Linked DNA regions of Notamacropus eugenii. The protein of the gene in region 3 interacts with the protein of the main gene of each other region in a biochemical or structural test. Links are inferred from orthologs where the notes say so. Each region holds a gene or a part of one and is shown on either strand. Other genes may lie near its edges. The genes, in order: SGK1, PRKCA, NHERF2 and TBC1D10A.

Evidence for each region.
Region 1: the proteins of NHERF2 (region 3) and SGK1 form a complex in vitro, tested with the Homo sapiens proteins (2 studies listed by BioGRID, with this or other methods). The link is inferred for Notamacropus eugenii from reciprocal best matches to the Homo sapiens genes NHERF2 and SGK1.
Region 2: the proteins of NHERF2 (region 3) and PRKCA form a complex in vitro, tested with the Homo sapiens proteins (2 studies listed by BioGRID and IntAct, with this or other methods). The link is inferred for Notamacropus eugenii from reciprocal best matches to the Homo sapiens genes NHERF2 and PRKCA.
Region 4: the proteins of NHERF2 (region 3) and TBC1D10A form a complex in vitro, tested with the Homo sapiens proteins (2 studies listed by IntAct, with this or other methods). The link is inferred for Notamacropus eugenii from reciprocal best matches to the Homo sapiens genes NHERF2 and TBC1D10A.

The regions. Positions count from the first base shown.
Region 1 is NC_092873.1:220,168,060-220,175,064, forward strand, and holds the start of SGK1 (serine/threonine-protein kinase Sgk1), read right to left. Parts: upstream 3,016-7,005; 5' UTR 3,001-3,015; coding exon 2,932-3,000; intron 1-2,931. UniProt on the Homo sapiens protein: Serine/threonine-protein kinase which is involved in the regulation of a wide variety of ion channels, membrane transporters, cellular enzymes, transcription factors, neuronal excitability, cell growth, proliferation, survival, migration and apoptosis.
Region 2 is NC_092873.1:329,832,972-329,840,381, forward strand, and holds the start of PRKCA (protein kinase C alpha type), read right to left. Parts: upstream 3,005-7,410; 5' UTR 2,709-3,004; coding exon 2,536-2,708; intron 1-2,535. UniProt on the Homo sapiens protein: Calcium-activated, phospholipid- and diacylglycerol (DAG)-dependent serine/threonine-protein kinase that is involved in positive and negative regulation of cell proliferation, apoptosis, differentiation, migration and adhesion, tumorigenesis, cardiac hypertrophy, angiogenesis, platelet function and inflammation, by directly phosphorylating targets such as RAF1, BCL2, CSPG4, TNNT2/CTNT, or activating signaling cascade involving MAPK1/3 (ERK1/2) and RAP1GAP.
Region 3 is NC_092872.1:48,222,533-48,230,012, forward strand, and holds the start of NHERF2 (Na(+)/H(+) exchange regulatory cofactor NHE-RF2), read right to left. Parts: upstream 3,007-7,480; 5' UTR 2,318-3,006; coding exon 2,108-2,317; intron 1-2,107.
Region 4 is NC_092875.1:15,074,360-15,081,658, reverse strand, and holds the start of TBC1D10A (TBC1 domain family member 10A), read right to left. Parts: upstream 3,003-7,299; coding exon 2,791-3,002; intron 1,877-2,790; exon of another isoform or gene 1,549-1,876; coding exon of another isoform or gene 1,466-1,548; intron 1-1,465.

The DNA.
Region 1 (7,005 bases), on a different chromosome or scaffold from region 3:
TAAAAACCCTCTAGGTTTTCATTCAGGACTTATCCAGAATTCTCCGTGGGCACCAAACAAAGATTCATTTTACAAGATTTTCCAACTAGGTTAAAACATGATATGCAGTTATGCCTGGAATCTCAACCATAGAATTCAAAAATAAAAGGATTATTCTTTTAGGAAAATCCAATACCATGAAACAAGGCAGAGTAGTGCAGTAATAGGACAGAGTGGCAAATTTGGTTTTAAAGGACTTGAATTCCAGTCCTGACACCACTCTGGGAACTGGATAACCTTAGGCAAGAAATGTAAGGTCTTGGGGTCTCCATTCTTTATTTGTTAAATGAGAAACTAGAATTTGGACGTTTCTAACTGGACACACTTGAACTACTTTTTTTAAGTATTTTGATAACTGTACTTCAGCAAAATTGGTTTTCTTTGTAATCCTATTTTAAAACATTATTTTAAGAAGCAATATACATAGACTTCACCAGACTGCCAAAGGCAACCATGGTAAAAAGATTATGAAGCCTTGGACTAGATGATCTCCAAGATTTTTTTTCCTATTTTAATGCTATCTATTATCATAAGTTGGAATCAACTTTGAAAATATAGGACTTAGGGTATGATGTCATTGAAAAATCAAGGAACCTAACTCCTAAGTTGAAAGCTCTACCTACCTAGTCATGGTGATATCCTCGTCATCTTTTAGTGGACAAAGGACAAAAAAAGAGTGGGAGAGTATTTGAAACCCTGTCTCTACTTCCAGCAATCTGATAGGTACAGATCAGTAGGCAGATCAAACACATGGCTAGTCATCTTGGTGTAACTTGTTTTGCTTCCATTCTCATCTTTTATCCACCCCAAATAAAAGGTAGGTAAATTCCCTTGGTCTATTTAAATGTATACATATATATACATACTTATGTATACACACACATATATACATATGTATACACACACATATGTATCAAGGATTGATATAGCACCAAATGGGTAATTTGGTAGTTTGTGGTTTTTAGCAGAAGGGCAGCAGATGGTTAATTAGTATTGCAATGAGCACATTTCCTTTGCAAGATACATGAAAGGCAACTTTTTAAAAAACCAAAACGATTCTGTAATGGTACAATTGAATAAGGATACCTGCTTTCTTAAAACTATTAAAGCAAAAATACAAAACAATCCCTCCCACCCACCCCACCCCCCAAAAAAACAAACGATGAATTAATAGAATTATTTCAGGGAGAAACAGGATAGTTTTATTAGCAGATGGTTCACTGACTGCTGATATATGTGACCACCATTATCTTTCAAGGACAGATTTTTATTTTTATATTGGGGGAGAGAGGTAGGCAAAGAGACACCGTAAAGATCCATTTAGTTGTGGTGACTTGATCTTCCTAGGGATCAGTCAGAGCCCTGGTAACAGGCATCACCTGGTATTTATTGCCTCTGCTCTTGCACAAGCATCTTCTAACAGAGAAATAATATTCTTTTCCATGCATTTGCTTTTGCCCCCAGGACCTTTTGGAATGATGTGACTTCAGTAATGAGAAATAAATCAAAGTCTGGCAAAAAAAAAAAAAAAAAAAAAAAAAAAAAGCTCTCCAACCCTCTCATCTTTTCCTGACAAGCTGCTTGTATTTTTCCAGCTTGCTTCTCTGGTGCAGGGAGTTTGCTCATCCCTGCTCATAATTCAACTGACTTGCCTTTCATTGTGTTGTGCTGGCGGGTTAAATGAAGTGAGTGACTGCATTTCTGTTCCTGGCATCTCACCGAGAGTACATGAATGGAGGACAGAAAGAATGAATGAACAAAATAATTTTGATGGGGCTGCCCCAGGGTATTAAACACGATGGGAAGGAGGTGGGGTCAGGCTGTCATTCCCTAAGAAACACTCTTCATTAAGGAGTTTCTGATGTCATTGGGCCACTTAACAAACCCATTCGGCTTACCTCCTACTTGGACATTAATATGTAGGTTTATGTAGACCACCTATGCTGTCTGCACAATGGCATAATTTTATCGTCAAACAGAAAGGAAAATGATATTTCCCTTTTTCTGCCCATTCCCAACGAATGGAGCACAGTGAAATGCTCTGGATATTCTGGTGTGCACATTTAAAAAAATGCATTAATGTATAATAAACACTGAGGTATCGGTCAAATCCAGACCCTTGCTGCTTTCTCTCACAAAAAAGCTCCCCCCCTCCTCCGGAAAAAAACCTCCAAAGGTAATTGTACTAAATTAGCTCAACCAGAACACAGGGGAATTCAAAGAGAGCTCTTGAAGGATGGCCTTCAATATTTCTGATTGAGGTCATGCTTGCCCTTTACTGACTCAGTTCTGAATTACATCTTCTCCCATGAATTGGTGCTGTGGCTAGAGACACAGCCCGTTACAGGTTGGATGATTTGGGGACCCCAGAGGTACTTCTCCTGCTGAGTGAGGACGGTAATGTAGCACTCTAGACAAAGTGAATGAGAGGAGGAAGAAAGTTGAATACTTCAAACATGGAGAGGGGAGAGAAAGGGAAGAGAGAGAGACGGAGAGACAGAGAAACAGAGACAGACAGACTTAGGAGAAAGAGAGAGATACTTCAAGAGCCCCTAACTAAAGCTACAGTTATAACTGGACTTGATCCAATTATGTTTTTCAAAGGTACAGAATCTCTGGTTTTGACAGAGAATCTTTCTTTCCATAGCCGACCCTGTCTCTAGCAATTCCTGCCCATCCCCCTCTCCTCACCTCCCCCTGCCCACCCCCAGCTGCACCTTAGGCAGGTACTCTCTGCCCTTATTTCTCAGTTCATTCACCAGTCTTCCACACACCGCTTTATGGGGGAGGGCTTGTCACCCGAGCAATATTCCCACTTCAGGTCGGCATAAAGACGCATTTCAAGAAAAGAAAGAAACAAAAGGGAGAAAATCGAGCAAGACCCGTCCTTACCCTCTTCTTAAAAAACTGAAAGGCTGAGCATTTCTTGACTGGGAATCCATTCATGTCTTTGTTGACCATCTTCCACAGCGGAGAGTGCACAGTTGGAGGTCCGGTACGGGGCACTGGCTTAGTGCATCGGCTTTCCTCAGTATCCCTTCTGGAGACAGTTAACGAGGAGAGCGGGGCGGACGCAGCACCATCAGATTCCAGGCAGCGAGTCCTCCCTTCACTCATTCATTCTGCTGCACCAGCTACTGCGGAGACCTTCTCCAGCGTTCGGCTGCCATAGGCTAGATCGTTTTTCTTTTAGTCATTCCTCGATTTCACAAACACAACTGCTACACGACCCTGGTGGCAGCCCACAGACCATATGCGGCAAGTCTCCGGGTAATGGGAACCGGCGCCGAAGGATGCCGGGCTCTTTGTAGTATTATTTTTTAATCTAAATAGGAGCACAGGAGAGACTAGGTCCCTCCTGTTTACCTGGCTGCATCCCTCCCGCTCTAGAACCTGGGCTTTCAGTTAGTGGTTCTCCAAGTGATGTCTTGCCGCGGTTGGAGAGGAGAGCTGTTTTTGATTGTGCCGAGTTCCAGTGGGAACTGTAGTTAAGCAGCTGAGAGGGAGCAAGAAGAGAGAGCAGGAAGGAGAGAGGGGCGGAGGGAGGGGAGAGAGAAGGAGAGAGGGGGGGGGGAGAGAGAGAGAGAGAGAGAGAGAGAGAGAGAGAGAGAGAGAGAGAGAGAGAGAGAGAGAGAGAGAGAGAGAGGAGAGAGAGAGAGAGAGAGAGAGAGAGAGAGAGAGAGAGAGAGAGAGAGAGAGAGAGAGAGAGAGAGAGAGAGAGAGAAAGGGGAGAATGAGAAGAGGAGAATGAAAGAGAGGAGAGGAAAGAGGAGAGAGAGACAGAGTGAGAGACAGAAGCAGAGAGATACATAGAGAGACAGTGCAAAGGAATAACTGAGCAAGGATAAATTAACCAAAAGGCTTTCTGGGATGAATACAAAAATAGTCCCCCTCCACACCCCTCTTTTTTGTTGTTGTTTGGACCATTTAAGTCACAGCCTTAAAAAGAAATGTGCTCACTTCCTTATGAAATGCAGGCGACTTTGAGTTTCATGATTCTCTAAAACAATTGACTATATTTTCTTCAATAAAAGCCTTTTGAATGAAAATATAATTTGATTTATTTCGTGAAGTGTCCAAATGGAGAGAGAAAGGCAATAAAACTATCCAGAAGATTTCCTCAGGTTAAGAAATATGTTTAATCGCAGGTATCCCAATTGCCAATTTTTCTCCTGAAGGTGACAAAATATCCTTTTTATCTTTCTCTCCCTTGACTTGTCACAATAAGAACATAAGACAGGGTTGTTGTATTATTTTTCACTAAAGGAAACAAGAATACCTTGTACAAATAGTGCTATTTATTTGAAGGCCGTGAGTCTTAGAAAGAAATGATCAAACTCCTTTGGACTGTGGGAAAGAACATCTTTTTTAAGTTAAAGGGATCCAGTTAAGTAAAAATAGAAACAAAGCTTCCTTATCTATGCTATTCTGTATATATCAAATGACTGAAATAGAAATATATAGTCATATAATTTAATCTGGCCACTTTTGCTACTGGATTTTGACAATCCCTTAGAATATCTTTTTTGGATTAAAAAACCTCAAACATTCTGTAGTCTCCAAATAAGAACTGTATATATCATTGTTTGACAGGATAGGTCATTAGGATCACAGAGATTTAGCATCATGTATAGGCTCTGCTACAGTGTTTGACTTTCAGCAAATCACCTGACTACTTTGCACCACCTCCTTACCTCATAATCAAAATGCAGAAAATGTGCAAACTTGCATTAATTTATCCAAAATGCAATGCCTGCTGTGTGATACACAGCCCTGTTTGAGGGCATTGTGAGATAGGGAATTGGGACTGGATCTATCCTTTCACTGGTATTGGAGGTCCCCCCCCCCCAGCAATGCAAATCGACACCTTGTCTGCAATTTAGGGTTTCAGAGAGCTGCCTAGAGCATTGGGAGGTTAATTAACTTCCCCCAGGTTACATAGCCAGTATGTGTGGCAGGCAGAATTTGGACCCAATTCTTCCTGGCTTCAAAACCAACTTTTGATCCATTATACCATAACCCATCTCATCCTAGCGTAGAAATATAAAATAAATGATTGAGTAACTTGCTCAAAGTTATACAGGTGGTAAGATAACACAGGCAGCATTTGAACCCAGGTTCTGTCGTTCAGACTGAATGTTGTTTTCACTGGACCGTGGTCATTCAGTAGACTGAATTTTCTGGAAGACAAATGTAATGTAAGCAGAATTGTTGCTTGCTCTCAGTGGAGTGTGTTGACTTGAACTGAAGGCAGCACATTTCATAACCCAAACCATCCATGCACTAATGGACACTCTAGTGATTTGATGGAGTTAATCAAATAGGAGAGTCATTTATTACTGTGTTAATTGGAAAAAAAAATAGGTTCTTTGGGAAATCTATGTTTTGCATCAAAATGACTTTTAAATCAAGAGGTTCCCCATTTACTAACAAATGGAAAAGAGCAGGTTTCTGAAGCAGGTTTACAAGAGAAAGCGATCATTATCCAGTATGGGGCTTTTTTATCTTTTTTATGTCATGGGATAATATTTGTAAAGAACTTAGCACATAGGTGTTTTATAAATGCTTATTTCCTTTTTCCTTCATGGATCTCCTTGACTGTATAGCGAAACCTCTGGATTCCTTACCAGAGTAATGTTTTTAAACGTATAAAAATAAGTCAAGTCAATACACATTTATTAAATATCTGCTATGTGCCAGGTACTTTGCTAATAACTGGGGATATAAAGACAGAAACAGTTCCTGCTTTCAAGGAGTTTACAATCTAATGGAGAAGACTTATGTGAAACAGCTATATACAAACGAGATAAATAAAAGGCAATGGAAGATAATCACAGGGGGAAGGCATTAACATTAAGGAGGATCGGGAAAGACCTTGCAGAAGGTGAGATTTTAGCTGTCCTGAAGGAAGCCATTGATGACAAAGGAAACCAATTCTGTTGAAATATAATTATCAAAATTTATTTTAAAAAGTCCGTAGGCTAAGAACCTCTAATCCAGTGTAACTGTCTTCCTTTACAGACAGGAAAACCAAGGCCCAGGGAGGTTAGATTATTTGTTTGAGGTCATCCAGCTAGGTAGTGATAGAAACAAGGTTAGAATTAATTTATATCTCCGGATTCTTATTCAGTCATTTCATTCTCTGCTACACCATTCAGCCCAGATCTCTTTTTGAAGCAGGCTTACATGGCATATGATTTTCCTGGAATATGTAATATTACTGTTTTAAAAACCCTGGCTTGTGAATGAGGTGGACTAATTGAAAAAATGGTCCAATTGACTGCACTGTATCAGTTAGGAGGAAGGTGACATCATCGCTTTTACTCCTACTTGTGTTTTCACAAACCTGCAGCCTGGATGCCTGTCCCTGGGTGCATTCACGTAATGATGACTGGCACTAAGGAGCTGGGCCTATCGCCTCTGGCAGGCAGCTGAAAGAGATACACCCTCTCCTCAGGCTGCCATCAGTAGCTGCAGAATCTTGCCATTACTGAAACATCACATTCCACTGGGAGCCGGAGCCCAGCTGAAATGAAACTCCCACAATATTTCCCCCTTCAGCCTGAGAGTCCTATTGAGGATGAATGAGTCTCACTTTCTACTCTGAAGGTCAACTGTCCTTCCAATTCCCTTTTAAAACGACAGAGTAATTTCTATGAAACTGTAACCTTGGTGTTCCACCTCATTCTAATGGAAAACCTCAATGTGTGATGAGATCTCTTGAATGATGTGTTTTCAATTTGAAGTGGAATGTTTTTCTCCTTCCTTTTGGTGGTTGATTCATGCCTTTTTTTTTTTAAATCCTCTCCTTCTCAAATGTGGCTTTGGATTTGAACCTGAGTGTAAGGTAGATGAGATGTAAAACAAAAAAGATTAAATATATCTGTATACATGTATACATACATATTTGAAAATGTTTTGATCTCTTTTTTTTAACATCTCTTTATTTCCAGATGTCTGCCTTCT
Region 2 (7,410 bases), on a different chromosome or scaffold from region 3:
TGTTTGCACTTGAGATGAATAATCATTTAATATTTACTGAGTTAACCTTATGTACAGACATGGGTTTTTAGGAATCATTTGATACTATCTGTATCCAGAGTAAAAACGGTGTCAAGATAAAAACAACTTAAAATAAATATTAAGTTGCAAAGCAGTTCTCCCCCCCCAAAATAGCTGAATTAAAACTAATTCAAAAATGCAGATTAGTTTAGAGTGCTTTCTAATATGATACACTAAATAGAAACATTTAGCTTCACTGCTTCAAGACGCAAATAAAAACTTTGGGAAATGTAGAAACTATAAATCAACTGATAATTAGAAAATGTTACTAGAGCACACTAGTATAAGTGAAATTAGTAACTGAAGCAATTGTCTAGCTATGAGGTCAAAAGAAAAAAGAAAAGAAGGAAGAAAGCAAGGAAAGAAGAAAGAGAAAAGAAAAAAACTTTTACCACAAACATCTAAATAATTGAAGTAACAATAGGGGCAGGTGAATTGTTTGAATTGTCTGGATATTTTATTGTCCATTTCACTTTGCCTGTCAACTCAGAAGAGTTTTGTTCCTTTAGTCTCTGATACTAGGAACATATAAACTAAATGATGCACAGTGGAATTCAGAACTAACCAGAAAATAGAGTTCTGTTTTTAAGGGATGTAACAATAAAAAATGAAGCATTAAGAGCCTGAAGTAAGCAAAAAATACCTCCATTAAATAATGGAGATAGAAAGCATACTCTTACAATATTTGCTACTTTCCTTTGCTCTGATGCTCTAACTTATTTCATATATTTCACATATATTTCATATATTTACATCTGTAACTATCATTGAGTATAACAACTTCATTCAAATTATAATTTCTGATATAATTTCTTTTTCTTAGAGTGCTATTCTTTTTAGAAGGATGACAGCACTAATCCACCAATTTGAGTCAAATGCCCAACACTGACATTTACACTGAGCTACTGTATTTTTAACCCCTTTGGGACAACAAGATGCCTATAAGAAACAGCTGGCTGGAGTTAGGATGTAGTTTCAATGTAGGTCTTTTAGAGTATAGAATTAAGGATTTACTTCATTTAGCAAAGTATTGCAGACTGCCTACATTTATGAACAAGAGACAGAAAAAAATGTATAAAGTAACAATTTGGGGGGAGGGGGAGGAAGAACTACTTTCCTCCACCTAGTAATTTTATGCCCAATTGTATGTATCTTTAGTTTTAAATAATTATCAGGTGCTTTTATTCCTTATAGCATTTTTCTTAAATAAAGAATCTTCTCATCTACAGACCTGTAAAACTAATCTGGGGTTGACAGGGTCTATTTTAAATTCCTCTTGTCCTCTGCCTACTCTGTTTTAATGCACCTCTGCCCCCACATGCTTGCAACAGTTTGCTCCTCTATCTCTTTCTTTCTCTCTCTCTCTCTCTGTCTCTCTCTGTCGCTCCGTCTGTCTCTCTGTCTCTCTGTCGTTCTGTCTCTCTCTCTGTCTCTCTGTCTCTCTCTCTGTCTCTCTCTCTCTCTCTCTGTCTCTCTCTCTCTGTCTCTCTCTCTCTGTCTCTCTCTCTGTCTCTCTCTCTCTCTCTCTCTCTCTCTCTCTCTCTCTCTCTCTCTCTCTCTCTCTCTCTCTCTCTCATTCACTCTCTGCTTGCTTACTCAGAAAAGTCGAAATCTTTCTGTGCCCAGCAGTTATAAGCTACAGTAGGCGGGGGCACAAGGTTCAGTGGAGTGGAAGCTGGAAGGAAAGGAACACGCATAGAGTCAACACACGCCCTCTAGCAAAGAAGAGGTTTGGAATGAGTGACAGCACAGTTGCAGCAGCTCCTCAGTTTCTCCTGTGTGCGGTTCTCCTGACAAGACTACGGAAACTCTTCTCTCTTTGGCTTTTTAATTTTTTTCCTTGGCCCACAAAGCCACACATCATTGCTCTACAACCTGTGCGAGTGTGCGCATGTGGACGAGGGCAGCCTGAATTTATCAGCGTCTGTGTGTGTGTGTGTGTGCGCGTGTGTGTAAATGTCAATGCTTGGCAGTGCCAGCCTCTATTTCATAGCCTGCCAGGGAATGCCAAAAAGAAACTGTCAGGGTAGACCTCGCCAGTGGGTTTGTCACCGCGTGGAGGGGATGTCAGTAAAGTGAATGATAGTAGGTGTGGGTGTGTTTGTATCTTTTAGTGTGTGTCCATTGGTGTTTCTCCGCCACTAAGCTCTGTGGGCGGATCAGCCTGCGTGTGTGTGTGTGTGTGTGTGTGTGTGTATACATTACTGTTGTTCAGCTTTCCCTGAGGTGTGAGTGAGTGTGAGTGAGTGAGTGTGCATGGGCGTGTCAGCTGAGTGCCAGGGCGATGAGTGTGCCCAGGTGTGAAAGTGCAACTGCCCACGGGCACTTCGGGTTGAGTACGTCGGTGACTGTGCCTGTCCCGGTGCCTCTCTCTACCACCACCCTCCCCCACCGCGCCCCGCCTTTACCCCACACTTCCCCTCTCCCCCGCCCTCCACTCTCTCCGACCCCAGTCCAACTGGGGCGTGCGCCTACCAGATGAAGTCAGTGCAATGGCTGCAGAAGGTGGGCTGCTTGAAGAAGCGGGCGATGAATTTGTGGTCCTTGACTTCGTGCACGTTCTTCTGCCTTAGCGCCCCTTTGCGGGCGAAGCGGTTGGCCACGTCCTGAGACGTGGTGGAGTCGTTGGCCGGGAAAACGTCGGCCATGGTCCCCCCCAAGCCACCACCTGCCTCCCCTGGGAAAGCCGGAGCCCGACGAGGGAGTGGGGAGGCAGGAGGGGAGCAAGAGGTGCCGGACACCTTCCCTCCAGTCCCCGGGAAGAAGGCAGGGCAGGAGCCCTGGGGCCAGGTGGGGGACCAAGAAGTCCTGGCTGGAGAGGAGCGGACGGTGCCCGATCCGACGCGGCCGGGGCAGCTGCTGCTGCCTCGGCGGCCGCCGCTCCCGGGGCCGCCGCCGCTGCTCCTGGCGTTCCGGCCGCGGGGAGCCCCAGGTGCGGAGCCCAAGCCGCCGCCGCGCTCGCGCCCTCGCGATCTCCACTCTCACTGACAGCCCGGCTGGCTCTGCACAGGCTTCCGACTCAGCAGCCGCGGCCGCGGGAGCAGCGGGGCTCCTGGGGCTGCTGCTGCTGAGGCGGCTGCTGCTGCTGCTGCTGCTGGGGCTGCTGCTGCTGAGGCTGCTGCTACTCCTGCTGCTGGTGGTGGTGGCAGCAGCCTGAACCGGCCCCGCCGACTGAGCATGCCCAGAGAGTGCGAGAGTGTGTGCGAGTGTGTGTGTGTGTGTGTGTGTGTGTGTATGTGTGTGTGCGTGTGTGTGTGTATGTGTGTGTGTCCCGGCTCCTCCGGTGCAGGAGTTAGTCATGGGGCGGATTCAGAGTCTCCATGTTTTCACCGCAGCCCGGAAAGGGGGGTGGGGTTGGGGGCGTGGGGGCAGACAGAATTTGCAAGGGGAGGACGAGGAGGAAAAAGGGGGAGGAGGAAGAGAAGGAGGAGGAGAAGGAGGATGCATCTCGGGGGGCGGATCTGTCCGCCTTTTTCGTTTGCTCCTCTTTTTCTGTCTCTCCATTTCAGTCTGCTTTTCCTTTTCCTTCTTCCTTTGTCGTCTCCGGAGTTTTCGGCGCATAATCTTGGGGCTAGGGACGATCTTGAAGATCATATTCCAATCCCCTGCTGTTGCAGATGAGGAAACTAAGGTCTGGAAAGGTTGAGTGACTTGTCCAAAGTCATACAGCTACTTAACTGTGTGTTAGACTTGAACTCCCAGAGTCCCAAACTAGCACTCTTTTCACAGTACCACGTAATACCAATCTTGCTTGAGACAGTGTACACTGCCAGGATTAATAGGTAGACAACTCAGTTTTCAAACCTTCTCTCTCTGTGTCTACCGGCCTTCTGTCTGTCTGTCTCACTCCTTCAAAACCCCTGACTCTGGGTTATTGTGAGGATCAAATTAGATAATATTTGTAAAGCGCTTAGCACATTGCCTGGCAGGTAGTTGCTATATAATATTCCTTTTACTCTGCCTCTGTTTCTGTGTGAGTGTCTCTTTCAGTCATTCACACAGCTGGTAAATATTTCTACACTTCCTCCTTCCTCATCGTTATAGGAATAGGGTGAGTTGGTGTTGATTGGGTTCAGTACTCTTGTTTGTACTTCTCTATGATGTGACACAAGATATTTCAATTTCTAATATTTGTGCATGTCATGAAATTTTCTCCTGCATAAGGTAATATATATATATTTATACATATATATATGTGAGGGAAGGTATTCATTTTTAAAAACTGAATATTGAACTTCTTAGCTACAACTCATTAGCTAATATACAAAAAAAAAAAAAAAAGAGGGTATACAGATATCTGGCTGGTTCTTTCACTCATTTAGTCCCCAAAGTGGAGGTTGTATCCTCAGTGGACTATAGCATGACTTCAAAGCAGGCTGTGGCATAATTCTAAGGGGTAACTAATAGGAAGATGGGAAGATAGGTCTCAGCCCTGTGACAGCTAATTGCTAGCTAATTGTCTCCAAGGTAATTCCACACACTTTTTCATTGCCCAACACTCCTCCACTCTGTTCTCTCCCAGGCTGGCCTCCCATATCTGTGGTCAATTGCTGGGGTCTTCAGACCCTGGGGGGGGGGGGGGTAGTTATAACCAAACAGAGACTATGAAACCTGCACTAATATCCACAGGCAAAATTTCCCCACCCCACTGGACCTGCCCTTTCTTCCCCCATCTTGCCTCAGGCACCCTTTTCGAATTTTGTGTTCTAGAAGGTGCCCAGGGGCTGGTGAATAAGAGCTGTCATTCCATCCTGCTTTTTATTTTCCATGGGACAAAGTGAGTAGCACAGAATGAATAGAAATGAATAGATTTCGATCTGCATCACTGATCTTGTTCCATTATCTTTCCCCAAAACCCATTCCTCAGAACTTTCCTATTTCTATAGAGGATACCTCCAAATCCTTACAGTCAGTCATGTTTAATTTAAACTCTCTGTCATCCTTGACTTCGGACTCTCCTTCACCCTACGTATCCTGTACTGACAAATCCTATCAGTTTTACCCCCACACGATCTCTTCTGTTCATCCCCATTTCTATGCTCTGAAAACCACTTCCTTCATTCAAACCCTCATCATTTTTCGTAGCACTATTGTATTAACCTATTGATTGGTCTTCCTACCTCAATTTTTTCCCTTATTCCCATCAATTCACCACATAGCTAGCAAGTTGATATCCTAAAACATGTCTGAAGGGGCAACTAGGTGTCATAGTGGATAGAGTACCTGGCCTGGAGTCAGGAAGACTCATTTTAGTGAATTAAAATCTGGCCTCAGAAACTTACTAGCTGGGTGAGCCTGGGCAAGTCACCTAATCTTATTTGCCTATCGTCTGTAAAAAGAGCTGGAGAAGGAAATGGCAAACCACTCCATTATCTTTGCCAAGAAGACCTCAAATAAGGTCATGGAGTCACACACAACCCACAACAAAAGCAAAGACACCTCTGACCAGGTCACTGTGCCACTAAATAAACTCTACTGTCTTATCTATTGATTCTTACATCAGTTATTTCATTTTTGTCTTAAGATTTTTATTTATATTTTGCATTATATGCATAATTCCTAATATGTAGCATGTAGCTAACTTGTAAATAAGTAAATATAAATGTATATAAGGTGAATGTTTTAAATATTTCTTGACAGAGTACATGATCAAAAAGATTTGTAGACCAGTACTCTTTACAATGATTAATATCTATGTGTATATCTCATGATGAGTAATCGTGGTTAGTTATTATAATATATGTATGATAACTTAGGCACAATGTTGAAAGACTTCCTTTGTTTAATAAAAGATTCCAGACTCTTAATTTAGAAAATAATTTTGTATTCTAATATTAATTACTGTAGAATATCCTGGTACAAGGCATAACCAACACATTTGCAAATTACCAAATAAAACTGCATGAATAACAATAGTAGGTACTAACTAGCATGCAAAGACTCTACAGGGAAATATGGTAAGTATATATTCACCTGTTGAAAATTTGATAGTTTTTTTTTTGAGGATATAGAAACAGATGAGGGAAACAGACATCTCTTGTCCATTCTTAATTTTATTAATTTCCCCAAATTCAAAGACTGACAAACTCACAACAGCCTGAAAGAGAACATAGCCTCTCTTTTTTCTCCCTGAATTAATTCAAAGTAACTAGAGGAAAATAAACCACATTACCCCAGTATGTCCACAAGCAAGAATTCATTGCCAGTTTCATCATTGAGATTATTGACAATGAAGAGGATGATGACTGTGTAAATTAATCAAGGAATCTCAGAGTTGTTAAGGAAAGCCAGTGGCCATCTGGCTCAAAGAATTCTCTTATAAAGTCCCTTACCAGAGGTCATTCAGCCTCTATTTGAAGTCTTGCAATGAAAGGAAACTGTCTTCCAATATCTTGTTCTACTTTTGTACATTTCTCCCCATTAGGAAATGTTCTTTATACCGAGCTTAAATCTACCTCCTTCTAATTTCCAGTCACTTCTCCTTGTTCTGCCCTCTGTGGCCAAGTAGAATAAGTCAATTCTCCTCATCATAGCCCTTTAAAGTTATCAGTCCACTCTGAGTCTTTTCTCTTTAGGCTAAACAAACTGCCTTTATTTCTTCAACTAGTATTCATGTGGCATTTGTATAAAAAGTAATATTATAAACACCCCCTCCACCCTGGACACTTACTCCTGAGGCCTACACAGTCTTCCCTTAGTCCTAGCTCAGATAACAGTAGATAAATCCCAAATAAGTAGTAGGAGATAATTGCTCTGCGGGTTCAAAGGAAAGAAATAGAATTGTAGCTCTAATGTGTCATGCACTGTAGAATGGAATGTAACAGCTTGGAGTTTCCCAGAGGGGCCTGCTATGGGGATTCAATGCCCAAAACTTGAAACTACTCCAGCAATAAACTGTGTGCGTACGTGTGCATGTCCTGTATATGTCATATACATACATATATCACATACATATATGTATGGAACTGCAAATGAGCAATCAAAAACACTTTATAAAGATAAAATGTTTTCGTTCTAACAAAGAGTAAGGGATGAGAACAGTCTGTTCCAAGGACCATGAAGACAGCTGAAGCAGACACTGTAGAGCACTTAGAGCTTAGTCAGACATCAAAGACACCAAAGTCATCCCCTGCATCCCGGGGGCCATTATCAATCATTCTGAGTTTTGTCCTGCCACTGGACTTTGATGCCTATGGAAGAGTGAGGCCGACAACTTTGTACCACTCTGCCTCACTTAAAGCTAATTCACGGGCCAGTCAAAACATCACCCATCACCCACTGTTTTACCCCAACATTGTGATGTCATTGGTCCTCTTCAAAAACCAAGGATGAACAAAAAGAAATGATACA
Region 3 (7,480 bases):
TTCAGCATTTAAAAACATTGTTCTGAGACGAGGTCAGTTAATAAGAGGTTTTTACCAGACTGCCAAGAGTGTCCTCCATACAAAAAAAAGGTAGGAAACTACTGGACTACATGGTCTCTAAGTCCTTTTCCGGTTCTTAAATCCTACAATCACAGAATTTCAGAGCTGGAAGGAACCCCATCAGCCACTCAATCCAATCCCATACCAGAGATACAAGGCCACCACACCACAATGGACAAGTAGTCATCTAGTCTATTTAAAGCCTTCCACTAGAGTTAGCCCACTGACTTTGCCACAGCTCTCATTGTTAGGCAGTTTTTCCTTTATTCAAGGCTAACTTTGCTTCTGTAAATTCTGCTTCTACAATTTCTACCCATTGCCCTGGTACTTTTAGAGCCAAACAGATCTATCTAGTCTAATTTTTCTTCCATATGACAGCCCTTCAGATACTTGAAAGGGGCTCTCCTGATCCCTACCCCAGTCTTCTCTTCTCCAAGTCAAATACCCCCCAGTTGTTTCATCATTCTTTGATTCTATAAGGCAAGCCCCTTACCCAACCTTCTCTCCCTTAGGACTGATGGAGAGATGCACACAGAGCCCAACCCCACCCCTGCCCTGCCTAAGATTGCTGCAGTTTGCCAAGACAGAGCAAGCAAAAGTATAAGGCCCCAGCTGCAGTCCCAGGGTGTGTGTCTGGAGCTTTAGCTTCGGAGCTAAAGATTAGACTATATAATACATTGTCTCACATATATTGAAATAAGCACACATATACACACACTGTGCACACAACCAGGAAAAACTAAGATAAAACAGCTTGCAAATCTTTCCTCATGACATTCCCGTGAGGCCAGAAGTCCTAACATTATCATCCCCATTTTACAGATAAACAGGGAGATAAACTGTTTACCCAAGGTCACCCAGTTAGTAAATAACAAAACAAGAGCTCCTGAATCCAAGTCTAGTGTTCATACACCCATATATCCTCTTCAAAAATACACACACAGATACAAACATACATACACATGGGAAACACAATCTACAGAGAACTGTACTACCCCTACCTTACTAATGAGTCATGGTGCCAGGAGAGCCTACAGTCCAAACCCAAGAGCTCTCCTCTCCAAACAGAGCCAAGTTGCAGGACAAGGACCCCCATCTCCAGGACCCACTGACAGTGGCTAGGACACCCATCCTAGGGACAGGTATTTCCTGATTCCTGATACTTTTCTCTTCCTCATACAGGGAGACTTTCCCCAGGCGGATGCTAGAGAGAGCTGTGAGCTGGATTAGATTTGAGGACAACAATGTCTTTCTCAGTGTTCAACACAGTCTCTGACACCCAAACACAGATACAGAGTGTGAATAGACAAGAAAAGTCTTACAGTCATATACAGATAGTGTCACAGTTATACACATTGTCACATCACACTGTCACACATAGATCTACAGTATCACACAGTGTCATATATAATGTAACATACTAGTACAGGGTCATGCAGATCTACAGCGTCCCGTAGTATATACATATATAGCATCACACAGTGTCTGTATGTCTATATGTGGTGGATTATCACACAAGGTCACACATGGTATCACACGATACACTGTTTACATAGCTAACTATACATGATATCACATGGATACAATATAATGCAGTCACAGCTACACTTAGCTACACACAGTGTCACAGTCATATACAGCTACACCGTGTCATATATGGCTATATATAGTATCACCTGGATACAGTATTTTACATCAAATATAGATACAGCCGGGAATTCATCATCAAAATAGTGACCCACACAATCACACAGAGCTGGCTAGCTACACATACTATATCACCCTCCCAGCTCCTGACAATTTCCCCTTGCTCCCTTCCAGACCTCCACAAGGACATACAATATCCCCTAGTAATACACATATAGATACAGAGCGTATCACCATATAAACACAGTGTCACACAGGCACGCAATATCACATTATTGAACCTTGACACAATCACGGTATGACAACACAGGCTCGTACAAGAGTAGTTCGATCACACAGACACAGGATGGACCCTCTGTGTCCATCACACACACCCACAGGCACACAATCTCGGGCCCACCTGGAGATGCGTCTCCTTCTCCACGTTGACCCCATTCACCTCCACCAGCCGATCCCCAGCGCGCAGCGCCGCCGCCTCGGCGGGGGAGCCCGGCTCCACCTTGCGAATGAATTGGCCACTCTTGCCCTTCTCTCCGTGCAGGTGGAACCCGTAGCCCTGCTCCCCCTTGATCATCCGGCACAGCCGGGGCCGCAGTTGGTCCTTGGCCATGGCGCCGCCGCTGGGGGCGCGAGCTCAGGGGAGGGGAGGGGGCGACTGTGAGGAACCCCGAGTCCTGGGTCCTGGGGCTGGAGAGTTCGGGAAGGGGTCGCAAGACTAGGGGGGTCTGGGACCCGGAGGGACCGAGGATGTGGTACGAGGAAAATGAAGGGGGGTAGGGGATGAGAGCTGGAAGAGAGGGAGGAGGGAGGTCTGGGGGGATGGCGGGGGCAAGGCTGAGGGATCCGGGGGATGGAACTCCGGAGTGCAGTGCGGAGGGGTTCAGTTGCTGGAGATCGGGGTGCACGGCGGAAGGAGGCAGAGAAGTGCAGAACTTGAGAATCCGGGAAGTCCGGGCCGCAGTTCAACTAGTGTAAGGGAAGCGGGCTGGGGGGCAGGGACGCCTGGCTCCCAGGGACCTCCGTCGGGAGTCCTTCAGAGGCGGGGCTGGACGCTGCACTGGGCCGGGAAACCACTGAGACCAGGGGTAGGGGCCTCTGCTGCCATGCTGGGCCGGACCAAGCAGGACCGGACCGGACCAGAGGCTGCGATTGCTGCCGCCTCAAGGACGGGTCCAGGCTTGGAGCTGGAGCTGGAGCAAGGAGACAGGCGGCTGCTGGAACCAAGCGGCGGTGGTGGGTAAGCTACGCTCCCGCTCCGGCTCGGGTTCGGGATCGGGCTCGGGTTGGCTCGGGCTGGGGTTCCTGCTCGGCACCGCCCCCGCCCCGCCTCCTCCACCCCCTCCTTTTCCTCCGGCCCACCGGGACTCGGGTCGCCCGCCCAGTAGCCCCCCGCCGGGTGGGAGGTCCGGGGGCGGAGCCGCAGGATGGGGGAAGGGGACCTGCCTGGAGACTCCGGTACCCTGTGGAAAGGACTTGAGGGGTCGTTTGGCCCGTCCTTCTGCCTCGGAGCAGGCCAGTCCCTGAGTTACACGGTGTCGGGAGGGGGTGGGGAAGGGGTACCCTACTTCCTAGGTTTCCAAAGCAGGAGGAAAGGCTGATCCCTCGATAATACTCCTAACACTACCCCTCCCCTCTAATAACACCCAATCTGTCCTCTATCAGAAAGCCCTGTCCTGCACAGGGGCCAACTGCTCCCCGAAGGTACCTAATCACAGGCTGCCTGGTATGTGACTTAAAACTTAAGGTCCTTTTTCCAGTTCTGCTGCTTCAGCCTTGCGGCCTCCTTTCACCCTAACTCCATTGACATCCCCTGATAGGTTTCCCTGGTATAAAATTCTCCTTCCCAGAGGTCTTTTCTTTTCCTTTACCAATTCCTGAAAGAAATCCCCACCATCTTTCAGGAAGGTCCCTGAGAGTCCAGATCCTCTTAACCCCACCCACCCTGTCTCCACGAGCCCATTTCCCCATTCCTTTTCAGTACCCCCACACTCCCTGACACACTTGTATTCACACACACACACCCAGTCCCTAAATCATTCTAAAATACACTTGCTGGGGCATTTTGAGGGCTGTTTCTTTCTTCGTGCAATGCTAGTCTCTTATCTCAGACTTCATCCACCCTCCCCAGCTGGGGAATAATTCAGGCTGTGCCCCTCTCCCAACCCTACCCCACCTGCTTCTTCTGACCTTTCATCTCCTAGGGATTCCCTTCCTAGGATCATTTGGCAAGTCCCCTTGTAATCTCCCAGCTCAGTATGGGAGCGGAAGGCAGAGGGCCTGGTACACTCTCTCTATGCAGAGCAAAGCAAGACTTCTCTTTTCTGAGAAAGAAGCAAATTCCACAAAAAGGAAACATTTCTTGCGGGTAGTTTTCTTGTCAGACGTAAGGATCTGCTCAATCTTCAGGAGAATTCTCCACCTCTGCTCACTTTATAATAATGAACGGAACAGTCCCATCCTAGAGGGCTTTAGCATTTATTTGGTCTCAGAAAGGATTGGAGAACCTCTCTGGATCGTGGCTAACACTGCTCTGGATTTGAGCAAGGTAGGGTCCCTAACGGGAATAAATTGCTCTGTCCATGGCCACTACGATTCAAGATCAACAAGATAGCAGTCTCCCCTCTCCTCTTTTCTCCCCCTCTTCCTCCTGCTACACTTTCATCAGCCATGCTCCCCCTTCAGCCAATATCCCATCACTCCCTTCTACTCCTCCACAGTTCTCAGTTTGTTTATTTTTTGCTCCTCAGTCCTTTGGAATGGGCCAGCCTTACTAGCTAAGTCTGCTTTTCAGGTCAAATCTTGTTCATTTAAACCTAATAATTAGGCTTTGAAGATTGCAGGGATCCCACTAAAACTGACTTAGGAGAAAAAGCTAAAGAGCACTTAAAAGAATAAGGGTATAGACTTTTGGTAACTAACTTTGGTTGTCCAAAGCCCAGCGTCACTAAGTTCAGAGGTACTCATCACCAGATTGGTTCTAGGGAGATGCGTATTTTGGCCACAGTTTTAAAAGTTGTATTGCAACCTTTTGTTTGTTTTACATCATCTTCTGAATATACCCCTCCATCCTCTTACCCATTGAGCCATACCTTGTGACAAGGAATAGCAAAGGGGGAGGAAGGGAAACCTTGGTAAAACTAGCCAAGACATCAACCAAGTCTGCAATTATTTCCCCACCTATAGTCCTCCAGGTCACCAAAGAAGGGAGAAAGGGAGAGGTGCGTTTTCTCATCTCTTCTTCAGGCTGATGAAAATTTTCAAAGATGGCCACAAAGTTATGGAGAAATTCTCTTGAGATTATCTGCAATTTACCCTTTACACATCTTATTTGCACATGTTTTTTTCATATTGTCTCCTTCCATTAGATTGTGAGCCCCTCAAGGACAGAGACTAGTTTTGCCTTTCCAGCTCTCTCCAGCACTTAGCACAGTGTAGACTTGATTTGAGTTCTGGGTCATTGGTAGGAAGAGTGTACCTTAAGAAAATCATAGACCCTTGAGTAAAAGTGGCCTCTTTCATTTGAGTTAATATGCCCCCCAAGGGTAAAAATTTGCCTTTCTGTATATGTTCTCATCTTTATTAAAGGAAGAAATGTTGGCCCCTCAGATGAACCCTCCAAATGGATTTTTATGAGTGCTTGTGGGTGAGTGAGAGTAACCCCTGACTGTGTGTTCATAGTGACAGTAATACCTGCTGTGTTAGGAGAATTTCTTTAACCTCCAAGCTCTTCTCCAACCTTTCAGATTTGCCCAGGAATTTTTTCCACCTGGGGAAAGCACAGAAAACAAATGAACTCCAGAGGAGCTCACCCAGGCCCACCATCTGAAAGCTTCTTAACCTTGACTAATTTATTCCTGCTAACCAAGTACTGACCTCTGTTATTTCTACACTGTCCAATAACCAAAAGAGCTGTTAGCTGTTAGCACCCTCTACCATCAGTGGTACCCTGGAGCAAAACCCCGGTTTCCACTCCCACCACCAGGGGTTCTGTCTTTCCCACCTGTGTTACATTCTTCATACTCTCAGGTTCCCTTCCTCATTGTCTCTCCTTTCTGTAGAGGCCTCTGTCCACCTCCTTTTCCTCTTTAGGCCTCTATCCCACAGCCCCCAAGTTATCTCTCTTCTCCACAGGTTTTCCCAGGATTTCCCAGGATTCTCTGGCTTCTCTTCGGGGGGTCCCCTTCCTCCTTTAGTTCACAAAGATACACAAAGCCAGATATGCAGAGAGAAAAACACACTTACCAGACTCGAGGGTGTCCCACAAAGCAGACCCAGCCAATTCCCCATGAAGGCAGAGGATTAGAGCCACTTATCACAGCTGCTCCTCTCCAATGGAAAGACTAACCAGAAAGGGCTATCCCACAGCCAACCTCAGCATCATTGTTTGTCTTATTGGTCTTGGATCTTTAGGCATCCCAGCAACAATTTCCCACCCCTTTTTCGGGTTATTCTCCCTGGCTAAATGGACTTCCACATGGTACTTCCTCTCCCACACTTACCTTGGCATAAAAGCCACTTAGGCTAATGCTGGTGGGACGTTAAGTCATCAATTTCTCTCTGGCCTGGTCCAATGAGTTTGTTTTCAGATGGACCCTGATTCAGCTCCAACATTTTAACATTAAAGCTGAGAAGGACCTTAGGTAACATCTCCTGCCATGCTACTTCATTTTAGAGGTCCAGAGAACAGAAGGGATTTGCCCAAATTCAGATAGGTAGTAAAGAGCACAGCCAAGGTTTGAACACAGTTCTCCTGGGTCTTTTTTACTTTGGTTCCCTCATACTACATTGTCTATAGGGTCTGTCTCTCTATGGGCTATGTCTCTCAGTCCTGGCTTGTATTCCTCTACCTGGTCCTGGGCCCCTCTAGTACATGCCGAGCTAAAATGGGGAAGGGGAACAGAACAACAGGACCTGGGACCCCAGATACTTGAGTTCAGGGCCTGTACTCCTGTGATGACTCCTGCAGGGCCATTAGGGTGGAGTGAGGATTACCTTCTGACTGCTGCCTTCTTTACCCCATACCTCACTGAGCTGGTACTAGCTCCACCCAGGTCACTCACTGGTGACTGGAGCCCATATCTTCAAGGTTTAAGCTAGGTTCAGTGATGAAGGTGGAGTCCTCTTGGAGAAATACCAGGCACTATGGCCTCAGTTCCACTGCATCTCGACCTCCCCTCGTTCTCCCCCCAATAACTCCCTTTAAGGCTCCAGATTCTTTCCTAGGTCAAAAATCTTTGCTTCTGCTCCTTCATCCCTCTATCATTTCTCCTGAGCTGTGTCACTCACACCATCCCTCTGGGGATGAAGCAAAGTAAACTCCTTCTCTCTATCCTGTTCACAGTATATTTACTGAACCCAGCCTGCCCAGCTTAAGGACCCACCCTCTCTCCCTGGCTCTCAAGTAGTCATTTCTTCTCTAAACCCAACCCTCTTCCTCCCTGTCAACCCTCCCAGAGCCCTAAGGCACAGGTAGTCTCTACTTCACTTCCTCCACATGCCAAGCTCTTCTTAGAGAAAGGGCCTAACCCTATCAAGGCCTGTCCTATCCTCCCTCCCAACTTAGAGTAGGATTTTACCTTTGGAAGATACCTTAATTGAAACCCTTCATTTTAAAAATGAGGAAATGAAGAAGATTCAGAGAGGGGAAGGGATTTGTCCAAGGTCACCCAGGTAATAGCTGGCAAGGATAGATTTTGGATCCCCAGTCCTCCATCACCAAATCCAGTGCTGTTTCTGCCATGCCACCAGGCCTCTTAGCCTCCCAATCTCCATC
Region 4 (7,299 bases), on a different chromosome or scaffold from region 3:
ATCTGGCTACAAATGCCAGAAATAATCATTCCCTTTTCTAACCTCTCAAAGGATCAAAGCTCCTCAGCTCTACCTGTTTCACATATATGGCTGCACATGCATGCGTATCCACGCACATGCACACGTGTGTACGCGCGTGCACACACGAGGTTTGTCTGCAGCTCTCACCCCCTGGAAAAAACAGAAGAACCTGGGTTGTGACCCAACACCCAAAAAGCACCCCCCTGTCTACCTTCCTCCAGCCCTCAGTGGGCACTAGCCTCAGGCCTCCATCAGGTACAAGCCCCAGGGGTGTCTGGTATCGCTGTATGAACAGAAGTAAAGCATGGCACGCGGAGGAAATGAGGAGAAAGCTTGGCTGGGCTATCAATCCAACAGTGAGGGGTTACCCTGGCACAGTACCAGCAGGGGAAGCTGGAGTGGGTAGGGGAACTTCCCAGATCTCCCTTACAAAGGAAAGAGGATGCCTCCTGGGGTAGGTGGGCATCTTCTCTAAGAGAGGAGAGACTTGGGGAGGTAAAAGGCAGGGTGCCTAATGTAACCTCCATTGCCAGCCTGCCTCAGATGGCCTAAGAAATCTTGAGTAGGAAAGAGGGGTCAGGAGCTGGGGAAGGAGCTCAGAAATGGAGGCCAGAGGCAGGCACAAAGGGACACATTCCTGATGCAGGGCAAAGTATGCTTCTGCCTGGGAGAAGTTGTGCCTGCTGCTGCAGAGGGAGGGCCTGCCTGCCCGCCTAGGGCTTCCTGGGAGGTCTGGGGCAGATGAAGAAGTGGGAAGGAGAGGCATAGCCAGGGTGTGCCCACCACATGTGGCACAGATAACATTGGATGGGCTGGTCCAGGAGGGCACACACATCTGTCTCTTCACAGCTGGTATGTGAAGGGAGAGTTGGGAGGATGTCTCTATGCATGGGAGGTCAGCTTTGCCTTTGAGGGGCTGTGGCCTGGGCAAGAGGTCAGGTGATAGGTGGGTATATGTATGTCTCCTGCAAGTGCGCGTGGGGGGAATGAGGTTCTGGGCACCCTCTGAAGGGTGTGTGTATGTGATCCCTGGTGACCTGTGTTGGCTAGGGGATGGAAGGTCAGGCTGACCACAGAATACTTGTGGGGGTGGGGTTTGTCATGGTTCTCATCCATGCACATGTGTGTGCAGAGGCAATGGGGAGGGGGGGGGGGCAGGGAAGGCATCCGCCTTTCCTGGCAGTGTTTACCTGTTCCTAGAGCTGAGGGTTGGGAAGTTAGCTCTCTTCCCTCCCTTGGTGGGGGGCAGCGTAGAATTAGATCTGGCACTGGGGAGGGGGGTGCCCATACCAGCTGGGTATGAAACCCTCCCACATCTGTATCCTGGTAGTGGAAGGGAGAGCGGGATCAGAGCCCACCCATCCTCAGTGTGTGGCTTTGGGGGAGGCAGGGGTGTGGGGAATCTGAGGAGGGTCCTTGAGGAAGCTCCAGAGAGGTCTCTTACCTCCAGCTCTCTGTAAGGCAGGGTGGTCCTGGAGAACCGGAGGGACCTGAAGGGTGAGGGGGGCTCCCCGCTTGGGAGAGCATCCTCAGAGAGGGAGGAGACTGAGCCTGGGTGAGCGTCTCTGCCTCTCAGAGGGGGGATTCCCAGAGACCTCCAGGGAGGGGCCATGGCTGGCTGTGTCCTCACATACCGTTGGGAGTCCTGGAGCCCCTGAGAGCACAGGAGGGGCCTCCATCAGGAGAGGGGGGAGGCCACATTCCTGGAGGTGAGTCTGAGCTAAGGGGTCAGCTGCCCTGGGAGGCTGGGTGTGGAGCCTTACTCATTCGGGTCTTGGGGGTGGGGGGGAATTCCCGGGGAGGCTGGTCTCGGGAGGGGCAGGGGGCGTGGTGTCTGGGACCTCGGGAGGAGGGTCAGGTGTGCGGACGTCCTGGCCCCAGGGGGGCGCCCAGGGGCGATCCGGGGAGGGGCAGGGGTGCCCTGGGGGAGGGAGGACTGTCACGTGTGTGGAGTCACAGGCCCCCTCCCCCCCTGCCTGCGGAAGGGGTGGGGCCAAAGCGAGGAGGGGGATCCCTGGCACCGTCATGGGGGAAAGGGGTGCCTGCAATCTTGGGCTGATCACCGCGGGCGAGGAGAGTTTATGGCGAAGGGGAGGTTCTCAGAAGTATTGGGGGGTCACGGCGGGGGGGCAGTGTTCCAGCAGTCTCGGGGAGGGGGTCACGGCGGGGGGGTCACGTCGAGGGAGGGGGGTCACGGCGGGGAGGGGGGTGCTGGGTCACAGGGGGGGGTCACGGCAGGGAAGGGGCTGTTGGGTCACAGCTGGGGGGGGCTGTTCCAGCAGTCTCAGGGAGGGGGTCACGGCGGGGGGTCACGGCGTGGAGGGGGGTGCTGGGTCACGGCGGGGGGTCACGGCGGGGAGGGGGCTATTGGGTCACAGCGGGGGGGGGGGTCACGTCGAGGAAGGGGGGTGTTCCAGCAGTCTCGAGGAGGGGGGTCACGGAGGGGAGGGGGGTGCTGGGTCACAGAGGGGGGGGGTCACGGCGGGGAGGGGGCTGTTGGGTCACAGCGGGGGGGGCTGTTCCAGCAGTCTCGGGGAGGGGGTCACGGCGGGGGGGTCACGTCGAGGAAGGGGGGTGTTCCAGCAGTCTCGGGGAGGGGGTCACGGCGGGGAGGGGGGTGCTGGGTCACAGAGGGGGGGGCTGTTCCAGCAGTCTCAGGGAGGGGGTCACGGCGGGGAGGGGGGTGCTGGGTCACGGCGGGGGGTCACGGCGGGGGGTCACGGCGGGGAGGGGGGTGCTGGGTCACGGCGGGGGGCCCGCGGTACTCACGCGCCCGGGTCGCCCTGCGCGCCCACCAGGAAGCCGAACTTGTCGGTGCGGCGCTCCGCGAAGCCATTGGCCTCGGAGTCGGAGCCCAGGGAGCTGAGCTCGTCGGCGGCCGAGGCCGCGTCCGGGCCCGGGACCAGGCTCTCCCGGGTCCCCGAGAGGCTCCCGCCCGGCCCCGGCGAGCGCGGCCCGTTCTCCCCGCGGCTCTTCGCCATCGCCCGCCCGGCCCGGCCCGGCCCCGCCCGCCGCCTCCGCGGTCTCCTCGGCCGCCGCCGCCGCCGCCGCCGCAGCCGTCGTCGAGGCCCCCGCCCCCGGGCTCGTCCATTGGCCCGCCGCACCTCCGGGCGGGCCCAGAGCCGCGCCCCCGCGGGCGACCCCTCTCTGAGCCAATCGCAGCCCGGGATGCCGGGAAAGCCCCGCCCCCAATGCCCGCCCCTCCCCTTCCCCCCCCAGCCCGGAGCGGCGGGGCGGGCGCCGAGTCGGAGCCTCCCGGAGCCGGGCTGCAGGGCCCGCCCCCGGGCTGTCAGTCACCGGGACTCACCTGGACCGAGCCGAGGCTTCCCGCCTCCTCGGCCCGACTTCCGGGCTCTGCCAGACCCGCCCCTCGCCGCGCTAGGAGCGCCAAGCGAGATCGCCGGGTCCCTGCCTTACCCTGCGTGTCCGCGGGGCCCCAGCCCGGCTGCCCGGCCGCGTTCTCCCTGAATGACGCTCCTCCCCTCCCTCGTAACCCACCTCCAGACCTTTGCCCAGGCTGTACGCAGTGTCCACAACGCTCTCCCACATTAGGCCTTTCCCTCTTTCCCCTTGATGCGGGGGTCTCCTCCCTTCCCCCAATCCCCTCGCCCTTCCTTTGAGGTTACATGTAAGGAGCGTCTCCCCCTTGGAATTGAGGCTCCTTGAAGGCAGGGACTGTCCATGTGCCTGCCCCCCCCCCTGCCTAGCGCCTGTGGGGGGTCAGGGAGGGAAGGCGCTGGACTGGGGGCTCCCTCCTGCTCTGTCAGCCCCGCTCTTTCCTCTGTGGGCATCCCAGATGTCTTCTGAGCTCTCCTCCAGTTCTCACCTGACATCCTAGGGGCCTAAGGCTGGGGGAACTGGGAGGCCGGAGGGAATTCTGCTGGAGCCGGTGTACCTCCAGGTACCTCAGCTCTCTGGGCCTCAGTTTCCCCATCTGCACAAAGGGGAGCCAACTTGCACTGCCTGCCTCCCAGGGGTAGACCTCTGCAGTCATCCTGATGAATCTATCTGGTTACTGCACCCACATGGCTCAGGAGGAGAAAGTGGGACGGGTGACCTGCACAGCCCTCCCTCACTCAAAGTCCAGTCCAAGTCATGTCACCATTTCTCTGATGTCTCGGTCTTCTCCAAAAAGGAAGGACAGGAAGGACGAACACAACAATCTACCAAGACTATTGTGGGGAAAGGCGTCTCCATCTAGATACTCCCTCCTCCCTCTGTTTTCCTCTCTCTCCCTCCTCTCTCCCTCTCCCTCCCTCTCCCTCTCCCTCTCCCTCTCCCTCTCCCTCTCCCTCTCCCTCTCCCTCTCTCTCTCTCCTTCTCCCTCTCCCTCTCCCTCTCCCTCTCGCTCTCCCTCTCCCTCTCTCTCTCTCCTTCTCCCTCTCCCTCTCCCTCTCCCTCTCCCTCTCTCTCTCCCTCTCTCTCTCCCTCTCTCTCTCTCCTTCTCCCTCTCCCTCTCCCTCTCCCTCTCCCTCTCTCTCTCTCCTTCTCCCTCTCCCTCTCCCTCTCCCTCTCCCTCTCCCTCTCTCTCTCCCTCTCTCTCTCTCCTTCTCCCTCTCCCTCTCCCTCTCCCTCTCTCTCTCTCCTTCTCCCTCTCCCTCTCCCTCTCCCTCTCCCTCTCCCTTTTCCCTCTCCCTCTCCCTCTCCCTCTCCCTCTCTCCTTCTCCCTCTCCCTCTCCCTCTCCCTCTCCCTCTCTCCTTCTCCCTCTCCCTCTCCCTCTCCCTCTCTCTCTCCCTCTCTCTCTCTCCTTCTCCCTCTCCCTCTTCCTCTCCCTCTCCCTCTCCCTCTCCCTCTCTCTCTCCCTCTCTCTCTCTCCTTCTCCCTCTCCCTCTCCCTTTTCCCTCTCCCTCTCCCTCTCCCTCTCCCTCTCCCTCTCCCTCTCCCTCTCTCTTTCTCTCTCTCCTTCCCATCACTCCTCCTCCTCAGTGTCTCTGGCTGGATCTCCATCCCAGTCACACCCACTCTCTGGCCATATACCCCAGCCTTTTTTCCTTTCCCCTCTACATTGCCTGGAGACCTCATTAGGCAAGTCAGGTCAAGGAGCATTTCTTTATCATGCTGTAACTACGTGCTGGCTCCCCTAAGTTCAGTGGTCATCTCCATGGACACCACCAGATCTAACCCTGACCACTCTCTTCTGGGTCCACAACAGAAGTTACTCTCTCCCAGCTTCCCTCCAGGAAGGTCAAGGTCCCCTCTCTTGAACCCTCAGCTTTTACCCTACAAAGCCAATCTCTGACCAAATCTTAGCCTTTGTTCACCATACCTCTTTTAGGGAGACAACATATGTTTCCTTCTCCCCAGTCACCCAGTAACCAGCCTAGTTTTGGACCTCATTAGTCCCTTCTAGACTATTAAAGAGTCTGTTAATTGATCTTGGCCTCACCGTCTCTCTACTCTGATACATCTCTTTCGAATATTTTCCTAAAGCAAGTGTCTAATGGTAGTACTCCCCTACCCTATAAATTTCAGTGGCTCCCTATTCTCAGGAGAATCAAAAGCTCCTATTCATTACTGAAGGCCCTTTATCACCTTACCCCTTCCTACCTTTTCACCCTTCTCACACCTCATTGCCTTCAAGTCTCCACTGTCCAGTCCACTGGCCCCCGGCAGTTCCCCACCCATGCTACCTCTCCCACCTCTGTGCCTTTGCCCCGTTTCCAGTGCTTCTGGTGCTTTCCCTCCTCACCTAGATCTCTTAGAAATTCTTGGTTTCCTTTAAGACTCAGCTCAAATTCCACCTTCTGCAGGCCCTTCTTATCCTGTCCCACTCCCACCCCACCACCCAGATCTCAGACATCGCCTTATCCTCACTTTGTTCTTAACTTGTACATGCAAAGTTTTCTCATGGTCTTCCCAGTGTACTTCAGGCCAGGGACCCTGCTTCTGCCTTTCTTCATATCTCCAGCACTTACAGGGCCTGGCACACAGTTGGCAGTTAATAAATACTTGCTGACTGACAGCTTCACACCTCTGACCTGATCACTTGCTTCACCTGTCTCCCATACACAACCTCTGAAAACAGCTAATACAGATATCTCATCCAATTTACAGGAAACTGAGGCTCAGTGGTAAAGCCACTTGCCTCAAGAAGCTGGGTTTGAACCCAGCCTTTGCACCAAGTCCAAGTCAATGCTTTTTCACTAAACCAACCTGCCTTAGTTTCTTCATCTGTAAAAGGGAGGGTTTGTACTAGATGACATTAAGGTTCATTACTAAAAAAAAAAAAAAAAGTGGGGGGAGTGGAGGGCTTAGCCTGGGCTCCTGAGGCAAATGGAAAACAATCCACACTTTTAATGTAACTCTGGTGTTTGGTATATAGTAGGCGCTTAATACGTGTTTTAAAATTTTATTTTTATTTGCAATTGGAAATTCTCTTCCCACCCTTTGAAAAGGCAAGAAATATATTATGCATATGAAATCATGATTAATAAGTGCCTGCTGAATGGGAAATCCTGGGACTGTAGTCTGAGGGTAGCCTTCCTTTCTTGAGTTAGAAGGTACTTTTGAAATGCTGCAGTGGATACAGCACCAGTGCAGGAGTCAGGAGGACCTGAGTTCAAATCTCACCTCAGACACTTGACACTCACTAGCTGTGTGACCTTGGGCAAGTCACTTAACCCCAACTGCCTCATCCTGGGTCATCTCCAGTTATCCTCATGAATACATCTGGTCACTGGATTCAGATGGCTCTGGAGGAGAAGTGAGGCTGGTGACCTGCACAACCCTCCCTCACTCAAAACAAAGTCAAGTATAAGTCATGTCATTATTTCTCTGATGGCATGGCCTTCTTCTGCACGAAGGACTAACACACACTCATTTAAAGGTAAAGACCAGGAGACCCAGGAAGAGGAAAGGACTTGTCTGAATCCTTACCTGCCTTATATCAGTGAGGAAAGGGAGACCCAAAGCCTAACTTTGAACCCTGGCTTTCTAGTGGGCTCTGCTATTTGGTGGAACCTGGCAAGCTACAGTAGCCAGTGACCAGGGGAGCTAGGACTGGGGGATGATGGGAAGATCCCTGGTTTTCAAGTCAAGAGACGTTGCCTTCTGGCTTGAGTGACCCATGGGCAGCTCTCCCTTTCTGGGCCTCATTGGGAAAATGAGGGGGTTCGGTGAGGTGGTATCTAAGGTCTATTCCTGAAAATCTCAGGTCTCAGGAGCTCACTCAAGGGACCAGAGAGCCCAAAGCTCTTTGTTTACCCCAGCTCTTCAGCTGTTTCCGTGTTCTTGACTCCAACATTTTCGAAGGTTTCTTTGAGGCCTGAAAAAATCCC